Xenopus tropicalis: one gene and its partners. The protein of the gene in region 3 purifies or fractionates together with the protein of the main gene of each other region. This does not show direct contact. Links are inferred from orthologs where the notes say so. Each region holds a gene or a part of one and is shown on either strand. Other genes may lie near its edges. The genes, in order: fbxo7, klhl42 and cops6.

Region 1 (4,208 bases), about 140 Mb from region 3:
TCATGTATTATAAGGGATAATGTACCCCCTACTGTAAATGATAAGGATATTAGCAGTCACTGAGGGGTTCTGTGCCCCCCATATAAAGGCACAAGGCTGCAGGCTGAGTTATACAGGGAACTCTGAGTATCACTCATGTATTATAAGGGATAATGTACCCCCTACTGTAAATGATAAGGATATTAGCAGTCACTGAGGGGTTCTGTGCCCCCCATATAAAGGCACAAGGCTGCAGGCTGAGTTATACAGGGAACTCTGAGTATCACTCATGTATTATAAGGGATAATGTACCCCCTACTGTAAATGATAAGGATATTAGCAGTCACTGAGGGGTTCTGTGACCCCCATATAAAGGCACAAGGCTGCAGGCTGAGTTATACAGGGAACTCTGAGTATCACTCATGTATTATAAGGGATAATGTACCCCCTACTGTAAATGATAAGGATATTAGCAGTCACTGAGGGGTTCTGTGCCCCCCATATAAAGGCACAAGGCTGCAGGCTGAGTTATACAGGGAACTCTGAGTATCACTCATGTATTATAAGGGATAATGTACCCCCTACTGTAAATGATAAGGATATTAGCAGTCACTGAGGGGTTCTGTGCCCATATAAAGGCACAACACCAAAGGCCGAGTGCTTTTATACAGATCATGGAACGGAATATAAGGTGACTATTTTACAACAGGGGGTACCTTATTTATTATAACACATCATGTGATACAGATGACATCACTGAGCACCAATTATAACTGATGACATCACAGAGCACCATTTAAAAGGATATCGTTTACAGAAAACGCATGGCTCTTGTGTTTAGACATAAACTTCTGATCCCGGCTCTTCATCCGTTAACCCTTTCCTGACAATTTTTTTGGCCCCCGCACCCCCTTTACCGGCGGAATCTGCCCCGTACCTGTCTCGGGGTAGGAAATGTAGGAATTGGTCGACAGCTGAAGTTTCCGCACACTTTTCATCTCGCTGTTAATCTTCAGGGTGGCTGCACGTGCAAAAGAGGAGAAATGAGGATGGCGGCAGCCATATTGCAACAAGATGTGAGCCTATGCTGTCGGCCAGGGGTCCTCAAACTGTGGCCCACGGGCCGGTTCCAGCCCCCTGGGGTAGGTGGTGGTCTGGCCCCCCCATTGCTTAAGAAGTTTGAGGACCCCTGCTGTAGGCAATGAATACAAACAGGAAGAGCAACTGTCACCCTAGAATTCAGAGTTTATAGGTGCTATGGGTGACCTGGTGTCACATGGTTCCTATAAACAGAATGGGGGGGGGGAATATACCAGAGCAATGAGAAGGAGCTTTAATACAAGGCTGCAATGCAATGCATGTACACTAGGTGGGGCACTAACTCTTTAACATGCTCCTGTGCCACACACACAGCAGGGGGCAGTACAGACAGCAGATGAAGGCAGGGGGCTGGCAGACTGGGAGGAAGAGGAAGGATAAAGTACAAGTAATACTCACCATTGATTATGACCAGCTTGCCCATCGGCAAACAAGCCAAGGTGGCCGAGACTTCAGCGCACAGAGGGTGAGTGTAGTGCAGCCTGTAGGCCCCCCCGCTGCGCCAATCCTGCGGCATACACAGCACCTTGCTTTCAGCACCCTGGGGGGGGACAAGGAAGGGTTACCGACCCACCAATCACAGATCCCTGGGATGGGGGGGGCCATATTGACTCCCTACCTTCTGTAAGTAGCCAGTCTCCAGCATCAGTAGGTGGATGGCGACTATGAACGCGTCGCTGGCGCCGGTGCAGCCGGCAGTTTGGTACAGAACCTCCAGGGAGTGGGGGATTTTCCCATCTAGTGCCTCGCTGCAGAGCATCACCTCCCAGGCCGGGCCCGACATCCCATCCTCCATGGCCACGTCCTCCGCTGAGGGAGGGGCTTGCTGGGCAGCCTGGCAGCAAAACCAATGGGCATTAGATAAGCCTGTCCGTCTCTAGCCCCATGGCTACTGCCCCATGGCTACTGCCCCATGGCTACTGCCCCATGGCTACGGCCCCATGTCTCCTGCCCCATGTCTCCGGCCCCACGTCTCCTGCCCCACGTCTCCAGCCCCACGTCTCCAGCCCCACGTCTCCTGCCCCACGTCTCCTGCCCCACGTCTCCTGCCCCACGTCTCCTGCCCCACGTCTCCTGCCCCACGTCTCCTGCCCCACGTCTCCTGCCCCACGTCTCCTGCCCCACGTCTCCAGCCCCACGTCTCCAGCCCCACGTCTCCTGCCCCACGTCTCCTGCCCACGTCTCCTGCCCCACGTCTCCTGCCCCACGTCTCCGGCCCCACGTCTCCTGCCCCACGTCTCCTGCCCCACGTCTCCAGCCCCATGTCTCATGCCCCATGTCTCATGCCCCTTGTCTCCTGCCCCATGTCTCATGCCCCTTGTCTCCTGCCCCATGTCTCCGGCCCCATGTCTCATGCCCCTTGTCTCCTGCCCCATGTCTCCGGCCCCATGTCTCATGCCCCATGTCTCATGCCCCATGGCTACTGAGTAGAGAATTATTTCACCCATCCCTACTACTGAGTAAACCAGGAATACCAGTACTACCAGTAGTATCTCAGCACACATTACCTGAGCCATGGCTTGGGCTCCTGTGCTATCATCTGACTGGCTCTTGGGCCTCTTGTTAGTCGAGCTGCAGGGTTGGCTGGGATCCACCAGGGGGCAGCCAAGATCCCGCTTATCGGGGGCCGGAGCAGGAGCTGGCTGCGGCGGGGGCAGCTGAGAGTCCGGCAGTACCACAACAATCAGATCCCCGGAGATGATCCCCGCAGACTCCAGAGTGTTCTGATCCCCAGTCAGGGCATCTTTGCCATTCAGTGTGATGGTGAAATTTGCCTCAGTGCTGCAAAGGAAGGATATAATAATTAAAGGGTAAGTGTCCCTGCTGTATGTCTGTTCCCAGGGGGGCAGCGCATTACCTGTAGCCCAGAGCCGGCAGGGTGACGGAGGATAATTTACTGCGCAAGTCTCCCAGGGTCGGACTCTCCGCCTCCAGCTCTAAGCGATTGGTCTGCTTCCTCACTCTCACCCTCAGCTTCATTCTTATTGGCTGCGCGTCCCTGAGGGAAGAGAAAGGCTTCAGTAAAGGAACACGAGCGGCTTCTGATTGGCTATCGCTTCAGGCAACACATATTGTATTATTATCCTTTATTCATATAGCGCCGACATATTCTGCATCATTCCCATCAGTCCCTGCCCCAGTGAGCTTACAATCTAAGGTCCCTATCCCATTCCCATCAGTCCCTGCCCCAGTGAGCTTACAATCTAAGGTCCCTATCACATTCCCTTCAGTCCCTGCCCCAGTGAGCTTACAATCTAAGGTCCCTATCCCATTCCCATCAGTCCCTGCCCCAGTGAGCTTACAATCTAAGGTCCCTATCCCATTCCCATCAGCCCCTGCCCCAGTGAGCTTACAATCTAAGGTCCCTATCCCATTCCCATCAGTCCCTGCCCCAGTGAGCTTACAATCTAAGGTCCTTATCCCATTCCCATCAGTCCCTGCCCCAGTGAGCTTACAATCTAAGGTCCCTATCCCATTCCCATCAGCCCCTGCCCCAGTGAGCTTACAATCTAAGGTCCCTATCCCATTCCCATCAGTCCCTGCCCCAGTGAGCTTACAATCTAAGGTCCTTATCCCATTCCCATCAGCCCCTGCCCCAGTGAGCTTACAATCTAAGGTCCCTATCCCATTCCCATCAGCCCCTGCCCCAGTGAGCTTACAATCTAAGGTCCCTATCACATTCCCATCAGCCCCTGCCCCAGTGAGCTTACAATCTAAGGTCCCTATCCCATTCCATCAGCCCCTGCCCCAGTGAGCTTACAATCTAAGGTCCCTATCCCATTCCCATCAGTCCCTGCCCCAGTGAGCTTACAATCTAAGGTCCCTATCCCATTCCCATCAGTCCCTGCCCCAGTGAGCTTACAATCTAAGGTCCCTATCCCATTCCCATCAGCCCCTGCCCCAGTGAGCTTACAATCTAAGGTCCCTATCCCATTCCCATCAGCCCCTGCCCCAGTGAGCTTACAATCTAAGGTCCCTATCCCATTCCCATCAGCCCCTGCCCCAGTGAGCTTACAATCATCTAAGGTCCCTATCCCATTCCCATCAGCCCCTGCCCCAGCGAGCTTACAATCTAAGGTCCCTATCCATTCCCATCAGCCCCTGCCCCAGTGAGCTTACAATCTAATGTC
Region 2 (4,737 bases), about 130 Mb from region 3:
CCTGCAGCTCCCCACCCCAGCATCCTTCAGCTCCCCACCCCAGCATCCTCCAGCTCCCCCCAGCATCCTCCAGTTCCCCTCTGCATCCCACCCAGCATCCTCCAGCTCCACTCCCCAGCATCCTGCAGCTCCCCCCAGCATCCTCCAGCTCCCCCCCAGCATCCTCCAGCTCCACTCCCCAGCATCCTGCAGCTCCCCTCAGCATCCTCCAGCTCCCCCCAGCATCCTCCAGCTCCCCCCAGCATCCTCCAGCTCCACTCCCCAGCATCCTGCAGCTCCCCCCAGCATCCTCCAGCTCCCCCCCAGCATCCTTCAGCTCCCCCCAGCATCCTCCAGCTCCACTCCCCAGCATCCTGCAGCTCCCCCCCCAGCATCCTCCAGCTCCCCCCCAGCATCCTCCAGCTCCCCCCCAGCATCCTCCAGCTCCCCCCCAGCATTCTCCAGTTCCCCCCCAGCATCCTCCAGCTCCACTCCCCAGCATCCTGCAGCTCCCCCCAGCATCCTCCAGTTCCCCCCCCAGCATCCTGCAGCTCCCCCCAGCATCCTCCAGCTCCCCCCCAGCATCCTCCAGCTCCCCCCAGCATCCTCCAGTTCCCTCCCAGCATCCTCCAGCTCCCCCCAGCATCCTCCAGTTCCCCCCCAGCATCCTCCAGCTCCCCCCAGCATCCTCCAGTTCCCCCCCAGCATCCTCCAGCTTCCTTCCCAGCATTCTCCTCAACATCCTCCCAGGTAGGGAGGGCTGTTAATGTAAGTCATTTCTATTTGACGTTCCTAAACCTGAGTGTCCCCTCCCAGCCGGTCAGTTATAGCTCCTAATGCTAACCAATAATGGCTGCACAAATATGGCCGCCGCCGCCTCATAGAGGGACATGGAGACCAGATAGGTAATATAAATGCATTGGGCAAACACTTCTATGGGCAAATAAATAAATGTACAAACAGTGTCATGACAGTTGCAATAAAGGGTTTAATTTCTGGTGTCAGTATCTCTTTACGGCTTTTACAGCTAAAGTCTCTCAGTTGGGCGATAAAGGCTGAACTCCAACTACTATGTAATATCTGCTAGGGTTGCCTGTTCCCATGGGGATGGCGTCTGGCAGGGATATAGCCCTCCCATAGAGAATCCCAGCTGCACATATAAGGCCAGTGTTTATGGGGCATGGGGGGGAAAACACAATATGGGAAGGGGAGGGGCCTGTCTATGAAGCAGACGCTTCCATGAGGAGGTGCGTCTGGCAATGGGGGCGTGTCTTTGCGCGGCTTGTGGTTATAAGAGGGGCAGGAGGCGTGTCAAGTACGTGTTTGCGTATAAGTGGGCGTGGTCCCTGGCACGCAGGTGGAGGGGACTGGGTTTTTTACAAGCTTCTGCACATTCAGGAAGTGAAATGCCTGGATGGTCAGTTTGTATTGGGGCGTTCTCTCCATGTTGGGTAAACGGAAAGACTGGGCAAGGGGGGCAAGTGGGGGCAGCCAATGGGGCTAGAGCTGCTGGCACAATGAGCTGAATGGACAAGCTGCACAGATGGGATTCTCTCTCTTTCTGGACTTTCTTGTTACTCAGTTTGCTGAGCTGAAACGGGACCGGCTGATGGGTGGGGAATCCAGGTCCATTCTCTAGTTGGGCAACTGTTCCTGATTGGAGGGTGTTGCTTCTGGGCTGTTATTTTTGGAGTATTTTTCCAAGAGATTCCTTAATTGTCATGGGTGGGGGGTGTAAGGAACATTGGGCATTTCCTTTATTGGTTCTCTGCCTGATATTCTTATGCCCAGAGTGGGTGCTTGGTGCCCAAGGTTCTTGTAGGTATGGGTGTTTGATGCCCTGATTAGGTGCCCAAAGTTCTTGTAGGTATGGGTGTTTGATGCCCTGATTGGGTGCCCAAGGTTCTTGTAGGTATGGGTGTTTGATGCCCTGATTGGGTGCCCAAGGTTCTTGTAGGTATGGGTGTTTGATGCCCTGATTAGGTGCCCAAGGTTCTTGTAGGTATGGGTGTTTGATGCCCTGATTAGGTGCCCAAGGTTCTTGTAGATATGAGAGTTTGATGCCCTGATTAGGTGCCCAAGGTTCTTGTAGAAACAAGGGTTTGATGCCCTGATTAGGTGCCCAAGGTTCTTGTAGGTATGGGTGTTTGATGCCCTGATTAGGTGCCCAAGGATCTTGTAGGTATGGGTGTTTGATGCCCTGATTAGGTGCCCAAGGTTCTTGTAGAAACAAGGGTTTGATGCCCTGATTAGGTGCCCAAGGATCTTGTAGATATGGGTGCTTGATGCCCTGATTAGGTGCCCAAGGTTCTTGTAGATATGAGAGTTTGATGCCCTGATTAGGTGCCCAAGGATCTTGTAGATATGGGTGCTTGATGCCCTGATTAGGTGCCCAAGGTTCTTGTAGATATGAGGGTTTGATGCCCTGATTAGGTGCCCAAGGTTCTTGTAGGTATGGGTGTTTGATGCCCTGATTAGGTGCCCAAGGTTCTTGCAGATATGAGAGTTTGATGCCCTGATTAGGTGCCCAAGGTTCTTGTAGCTATGCGGTGCACAAATAGTGTGATGTTTTTATGTTGGTAGATCCCTTTTCTGGTTCCATTTCTGGGTTCTTGAAGGCATCATGCATGTATAAGTGATGTCCTCTGTAGAAACAGTTCAGATACTGTTGGGTTCTAGGTGTTACTCTGTACCTAGGGAACAGCTGGTGGCTCAGAGTGGTTTCTTCCAGTCACTGTTCCGGTCGGGCATGAGGGAAAGTCATGGGGAACCAGTGACTCTGCATGGGCTGACCCCTGAGGGCCTGGAAGGGGTTCTCCGCCACATCACTGGGGGTTCCCTTCTAGAAGCTCAGGGGGGTTCCGAGTTTGGTTTCCAGGTTGTTTCCTTGGAAGATCCAGAACGTTGCTCACTGGAGGATGAATCAACATGCGGCCTGGAGTCATCGGGCCCTTTACAGGCTGTGGTGGAAGCCGCATCCTACCTACAGGTCCAAGGTCTTCTGTCTCTCCTGCAGTCCTCCATGTCCCTGGACACGTGTCTGGATATCCTGGAGGTGGCGCAGTTGCATGGCCAGTGGGATTTGGCTTCGGCAGCTCTACATTTCATGGCTGCTCATTACCTTTCTATGTTGAGGAGGGAAGACTTCCAGCAGAGCCCAAGGTCCCTCAGAACTCGTGTCCTGGAAGAGAGGCTGAGAGGAACCCCAGCCCTTATGGTCCTGTCCCAACAGGGCCCTGACAACTGGGTGCTACTAAGGTACCTGGAAGGGGGAGGCGGTTGGCAAGTCATGACCGGAGAGGTCCCACAGAGTATGCTGAGGGTGCAAGGCTATGGGGCTACCACACTCCATAACTACCTGTTTGTGGCTGGAGGTAGGAGGGACAATGGGCAAGAGATCAGTGCCGTGCACTCGTACAACCCGAGCAACGGGTGCTGGACCCAGGAGCCCTCCATGAACCAAAAGAGGTAATCAGGTGGGGAATATTGTTTTCCTTAGTCACTTTGCTTTTCTGTTCTGGTTCTGTCCTATGAAGCTATGGCCACTGAGGAGCCCAGGATGCCAGTCTTTTATTCAGACAATTGCCTGGTTGCTTGGTCAGTGACCCTAGCAACCCCTAACTAGTTTAAAGTCTTATTTTACAGGTTATCTTCAAATCTGTCATTCACACCGCTTCCTGATTGCTAGGGGGAAATATACTGCTTGTGTTTGAGTAGCATTAGCTGTGGTGACTAGTGGACCAGGGCATTTTGACTGCTGGTGTTTTTCACCTGTGAAGCTACCGCAGGCCTTCGATTTCTGTGCACAAAATAAAATATTTTGTGGTTTACTTCCCCTTTACATACCAGGTGCAAGGTTCCACTCCAAGTTCTAAACTTGGATGAACTCATATAATAAAATAAATTTATATCCTGAGTCCTGTATTGAGAATCTAAGCACACCTTCTATTTTATCATCTATAGGAACCATATTAATTCCCCTTGTTATTGAACTACAACTCCCATCATCCTGTCAAACTGACATGCAAGGGAAATAGCAAGGTGCTGAATTGTGCTTAGTACAGGGGAATCCCTATGTGCCATAGTTTTATGGTATCTCTCTGTACAGGCTATGAGCAAACTTAGGGGGCTGTTCATGCTGAATTGTGCTTAGTACAGGGGAATCCCTATGTGCCATAGTTTTATGGTATCTCTCTGTACAGGCTATGGGCAAACTTAGGGGGCTGTTCCTGCTGAATTGTGCTTAGTACAGGGGAATCCCTATGTGCCATAGTTTTATGGTATCTCTCTGTACAGGCTATGAGCAAACTTAGGGGGCTGTTCATGCTGAATTGTGCTTAGTACAGGGGAATCCCTATGTGCCATAGTTTTATGGTATCTCTCTGTACAGGCTATGGGCAAACTTAGGGGGCTGTTCCTGCTGAATTGTGCTTAGTACAGGGGAATCCCTATGTGCCATAGTTTTATGGTATCTCTCTGTACAGGCTATGAGCAAACTTAGGGGGCTGTTCCTGCTGAATTGTGCTTAGTACAGGGGAATCCCTATGTGCCATAGTTTTATGGTATCTCTCTGTACAGGCTATGAGCAAACTTAGGGGGCTGTTCCTGCTGAATTGTGCTTAGTACAGGGGAATCCCTATGTGCAGGCTATGAGCAAACTAAGGGGGCTGTTCCTGCTGAATTGTGCTTAGTACAGGGGAATCCCTATGCTGCCATAGTTTTATGGTATCTCTCTGTACAGGCTATGAGCAAACTTAG
Region 3 (3,353 bases):
GCATGCAAGGGCCACACAGGAGAGAAGCTCTGTAGTGCAGTGGAGATCACTGTTGTATGAAGTCTGACTCTGTGTGGTCATATAAGCCGACAACACCATTTTAAATGAATTGCCAGACTCTTCCTGTCAGTCAAGCACTTAAGTTCCGCCTTACAAGCCCCAAGGGACCATAAGAGCACGTCGGAGTCCAGGGGTCAGGGTTTACTTACCTCCCTTTGTCGAGTAAAGCTGGCCATACATGCACCGGCATTATCGGTATGGGTATGGTAGGTCGACGAGACGACCAATATCACAAAAGCCTTGGATATCGGTCATCTAGTCGCTCGGGTGAGACAAAAGGCGCCCAATCAAAAGCTGCGTTTAGAGCCGAATCGTCAGATAGGGGCAGAATTCCTATTGTTTCTACTTCCTTATCCGACGATTCAGCCCTGAACGGTGTGTGCGTGGGCTCGCTGTAGAGCAGCTCCCATTCCCATAATACCTCGTCTCAGCAATGGTAAGCCAGTGGCAGACAGTCATGTGTGGGACCAGTTGGGCCGACCTGAACCCACCTACCTGCCACTGTGTAAACTACGCGATATCACAAACTGGATGGAATGTCAGATCAACCAGACTACTTTTTTTGCTGGGCAAAGTCCCCCAGATTACAGACTGCACACAGGATCCAGGCAGAGTACTAATAGCCAGGGAATGAGGGACTTTCCATCCGAAAAACCATCTACTGTGAGCATATTTCCATGGGGATTTGACCAAATGCAGAGCTGCTCATTACATTAACTGGCCAAACCAACTGATCACTGCAATGTGGGTCGCCACTTCCGAAAATATCCCACCATTAAACTGAGAGAGACTTATCACTCCAATGTGACCAAAACCTTGGCTCTCACGTCATCATCAATAAATCTCCATACTTCTAGGTGTGTCCGATATCAGCCATTTAGACTGATTCGGCAGCTTATCTGCCCATGAATGGGCGCTACCAACTAGCCTCCCCGACCAACATCTGGCCGACCTCAATCGCGCAGGTCTGATTTTTACGTTGGATCGGAAACCACATTGGCTTGTTGAACTGCCGTTTTAATTAGCCCGATATTGCCCACCCATAGGTGGACATATCAGGAGGAGAAGATCCGTTCACTTGGCAACCTCTCCAAGCGAGCAGATCTTACGTTGTATAGCCTCCTTTACTCTCAACAGCTGTGCCACTGGCACTTTAAAGAACCTGACCACCACCAACAGAGCCTCACGACCTACCCTTCAAAGAGTCGGACAGTAGTGACCCCAATAAATGTGGCACTAGGCACTCAGTCTGTAGGTGTTAACATCAAGCTTTATTGTCCATGTCTCTTGGACTAAGAACCAAAAAAAGAACGAAGGCGGGATGTTCTATTACAGAGTCACTTAACGCAGGCATGGGAGCTGTGTAATTGTTCTACTGAGTCCATCGCATATGCCAGCCAATACCCTGGGATCCTAGAAGAAGAGACCACGCATATGCCGACCAATACCCTGGGATCCTAGAAGAAGAGACCACGCATATGCCGACCAATACCCTGGGATCCTAGAAGAAGAGACCACGCATATGCCAGCCAATACCCAGGGATCCTAGAAGAAGAGACCACGCATATGCCAGCCAATACCCAGGGATCCTAGAAGAAGAGACCACGCATATGCCAGCCAAAACCCCGGATCCTAAAAGAAGAGACCGCGCATACGTCGGCCAATCCCCTGGCGGTCATAAAGGATGTTGAACTTGTTGACGAACTGGTTCATGGTATTGCACGTCTTGGTGATAGTGCCCAGGTAAGACATCAAGCCCACATCATTACATTGCTGGCGAATGAAAGAGAGAGAACAATAAGGGAGGGGTTTATCGACCAGTAAATTAGCATCCTTTCTGTGTTTTATATGTTAGCACTGCTGCCTGGCACAGCTAGGATTGCAAAATCTGTTTTGATCAGGGTACACTGCTTGAAATCTCTCCAAAAACTACTAAAACTGACCCTGCTTTGTGTGTGATTGTGACGGGGAATTTAGAATGGAAGCCTGCTGGGTCAGGGAGTGAAGCGAATTATTGTGGAGCAGCAAGTTATGTCAGCATTACGTCAAAACAGGATATTTATACAGAGGGGTCGCTGGTCCAGTGTAACCTCGACTGGGCCGAGCATCAGAATCATCATTCCCTTTATTAATTTATTTGTCCTTTCCTGTACTCTCTCTGCTTCCATAACACTGTTCACGTGGGTAAGTGTACAAATAAGGGAACATTCGCACTTACATCATAGAAGTCCATCTTGAACTTGTCCGTGCTGAGGACAGGGAGACAGTGGCACAGAGCAGAGGCTTCTCGTAGAATCTCGTGATTAAACGGCACCTCCCCTAGTAAGGAAAAGATTGGAAGTGATTGGAAGTGAGGCTCTGAGATGCAGGAAGTGCATTCAGGGTGCAATGAATATATGCAATGTATAAAGGTGATTGGTTACTTACCCGCCTCGGCCGCCCTAACATATTCCAAGATGAGCCGGACGCGGCTGTGCAACATCTTGATGGCGCTGTGCTGAGCTATGAGATGCTCCGCCACTGTAACAGAACAGGAGGTGTTTTACACTAAGGACAGTACGAGGCACTGCCCGCCCTTCCTTCAGTCTCAGACGCCTTCCCATACCTGTCGAGTTCTCTCCACTTCCCGTGGCGGTCATCCTGGCTACGTGATCCACCCCGATCCTCTCTGCTTCTTCTGTGGCCAAAGTGTAGGACAGTTCCGCTAGAAGCATGGTGGCCTAGAAAATTATAGTGGGGCAACAAAAGCATAGGGATGTTTAACTGCTCTCTGGTGCAACTCTACGCCCTGAACTAGAGGAGTACTGAGCAACCATTGCAGGAAGTCTTGTGTGCCGATTGGTCGGCTGGGAACCTGTATCGCTTCGCTTCTACTACTGTGCATCTGTTAGTGACTATCACTATAATAATGTACCCCCCACTGTAAATGATAAAGGATATTAGAAGTTACTGAGGTGAGGGGTTCTGTGCCCATATAAAGGCACAAGGCTGCAGGCTGAGTTATACAGGGAACTCTGAGTATCACTCATGTATTATAAGGGATAATGTACCCCCTACTGTAAATGATAAGGATATTAGCAGTCACTGAGGGGTTCTGTGCCCATTTAAAGGCACAAGGCTGCAGGCTGAGTTATACAGGGAACTCGGAGTATCACTCATGTATTATAAGGGATAATGTACCCCCTACTGTAAATGATAAGGATATTAGCAGTCACTGAGGGGTTCTGTGCCCATATAAAGGCACAAGGCTGCAGGCTGAGTTATACAGGGAACTCTGAGTATCACTCATGTAT

What was found.
Region 1: the proteins of cops6 (region 3) and fbxo7 purify together in Homo sapiens (affinity purification with mass spectrometry; 4 studies listed by BioGRID and IntAct, counting the BioPlex papers as one, with this or other methods). This does not show direct contact. The link is inferred for Xenopus tropicalis from reciprocal best matches to the Homo sapiens genes COPS6 and FBXO7.
Region 2: the proteins of cops6 (region 3) and klhl42 purify together in Homo sapiens (affinity purification with mass spectrometry; 3 studies listed by BioGRID and IntAct, with this or other methods). This does not show direct contact. The link is inferred for Xenopus tropicalis from reciprocal best matches to the Homo sapiens genes COPS6 and KLHL42.

What each region holds. Positions count from the first base shown.
Region 1 is NC_030679.2:7,492,402-7,496,609, forward strand, and holds part of fbxo7 (F-box only protein 7), read right to left. Parts: intron 3,077-4,208; 5' UTR 3,058-3,076; coding exon 2,936-3,057; intron 2,860-2,935; coding exon 2,586-2,859; intron 1,913-2,585; coding exon 1,697-1,912; intron 1,619-1,696; coding exon 1,477-1,618; intron 1,001-1,476; coding exon 917-1,000; intron 1-916. UniProt on the Homo sapiens protein: Substrate recognition component of a SCF (SKP1-CUL1-F-box protein) E3 ubiquitin-protein ligase complex which mediates the ubiquitination and subsequent proteasomal degradation of target proteins and plays a role in several biological processes such as cell cycle, cell proliferation, or maintenance of chromosome stability.
Region 2 is NC_030679.2:10,512,296-10,517,032, forward strand, and holds the start of klhl42 (kelch-like protein 42), read left to right. Parts: upstream 1-1,315; 5' UTR 1,316-1,801; exon of another isoform or gene 1,802-1,827; intron 1,828-1,846; 5' UTR 1,847-2,097; exon of another isoform or gene 2,098-2,277; 5' UTR 2,278-2,617; coding exon 2,618-3,447; intron 3,448-4,737. UniProt on the Homo sapiens protein: Substrate-specific adapter of a BCR (BTB-CUL3-RBX1) E3 ubiquitin-protein ligase complex required for mitotic progression and cytokinesis. The BCR(KLHL42) E3 ubiquitin ligase complex mediates the ubiquitination and subsequent degradation of KATNA1.
Region 3 is NC_030679.2:144,236,712-144,240,064, forward strand, and holds the end of cops6 (COP9 signalosome complex subunit 6), read right to left. Parts: intron 2,781-3,353; coding exon 2,666-2,780; intron 2,581-2,665; coding exon 2,488-2,580; intron 2,380-2,487; coding exon 2,279-2,379; intron 1,834-2,278; coding exon 1,693-1,833; 3' UTR 1,311-1,692; downstream 1-1,310. UniProt on the Homo sapiens protein: Component of the COP9 signalosome complex (CSN), a complex involved in various cellular and developmental processes.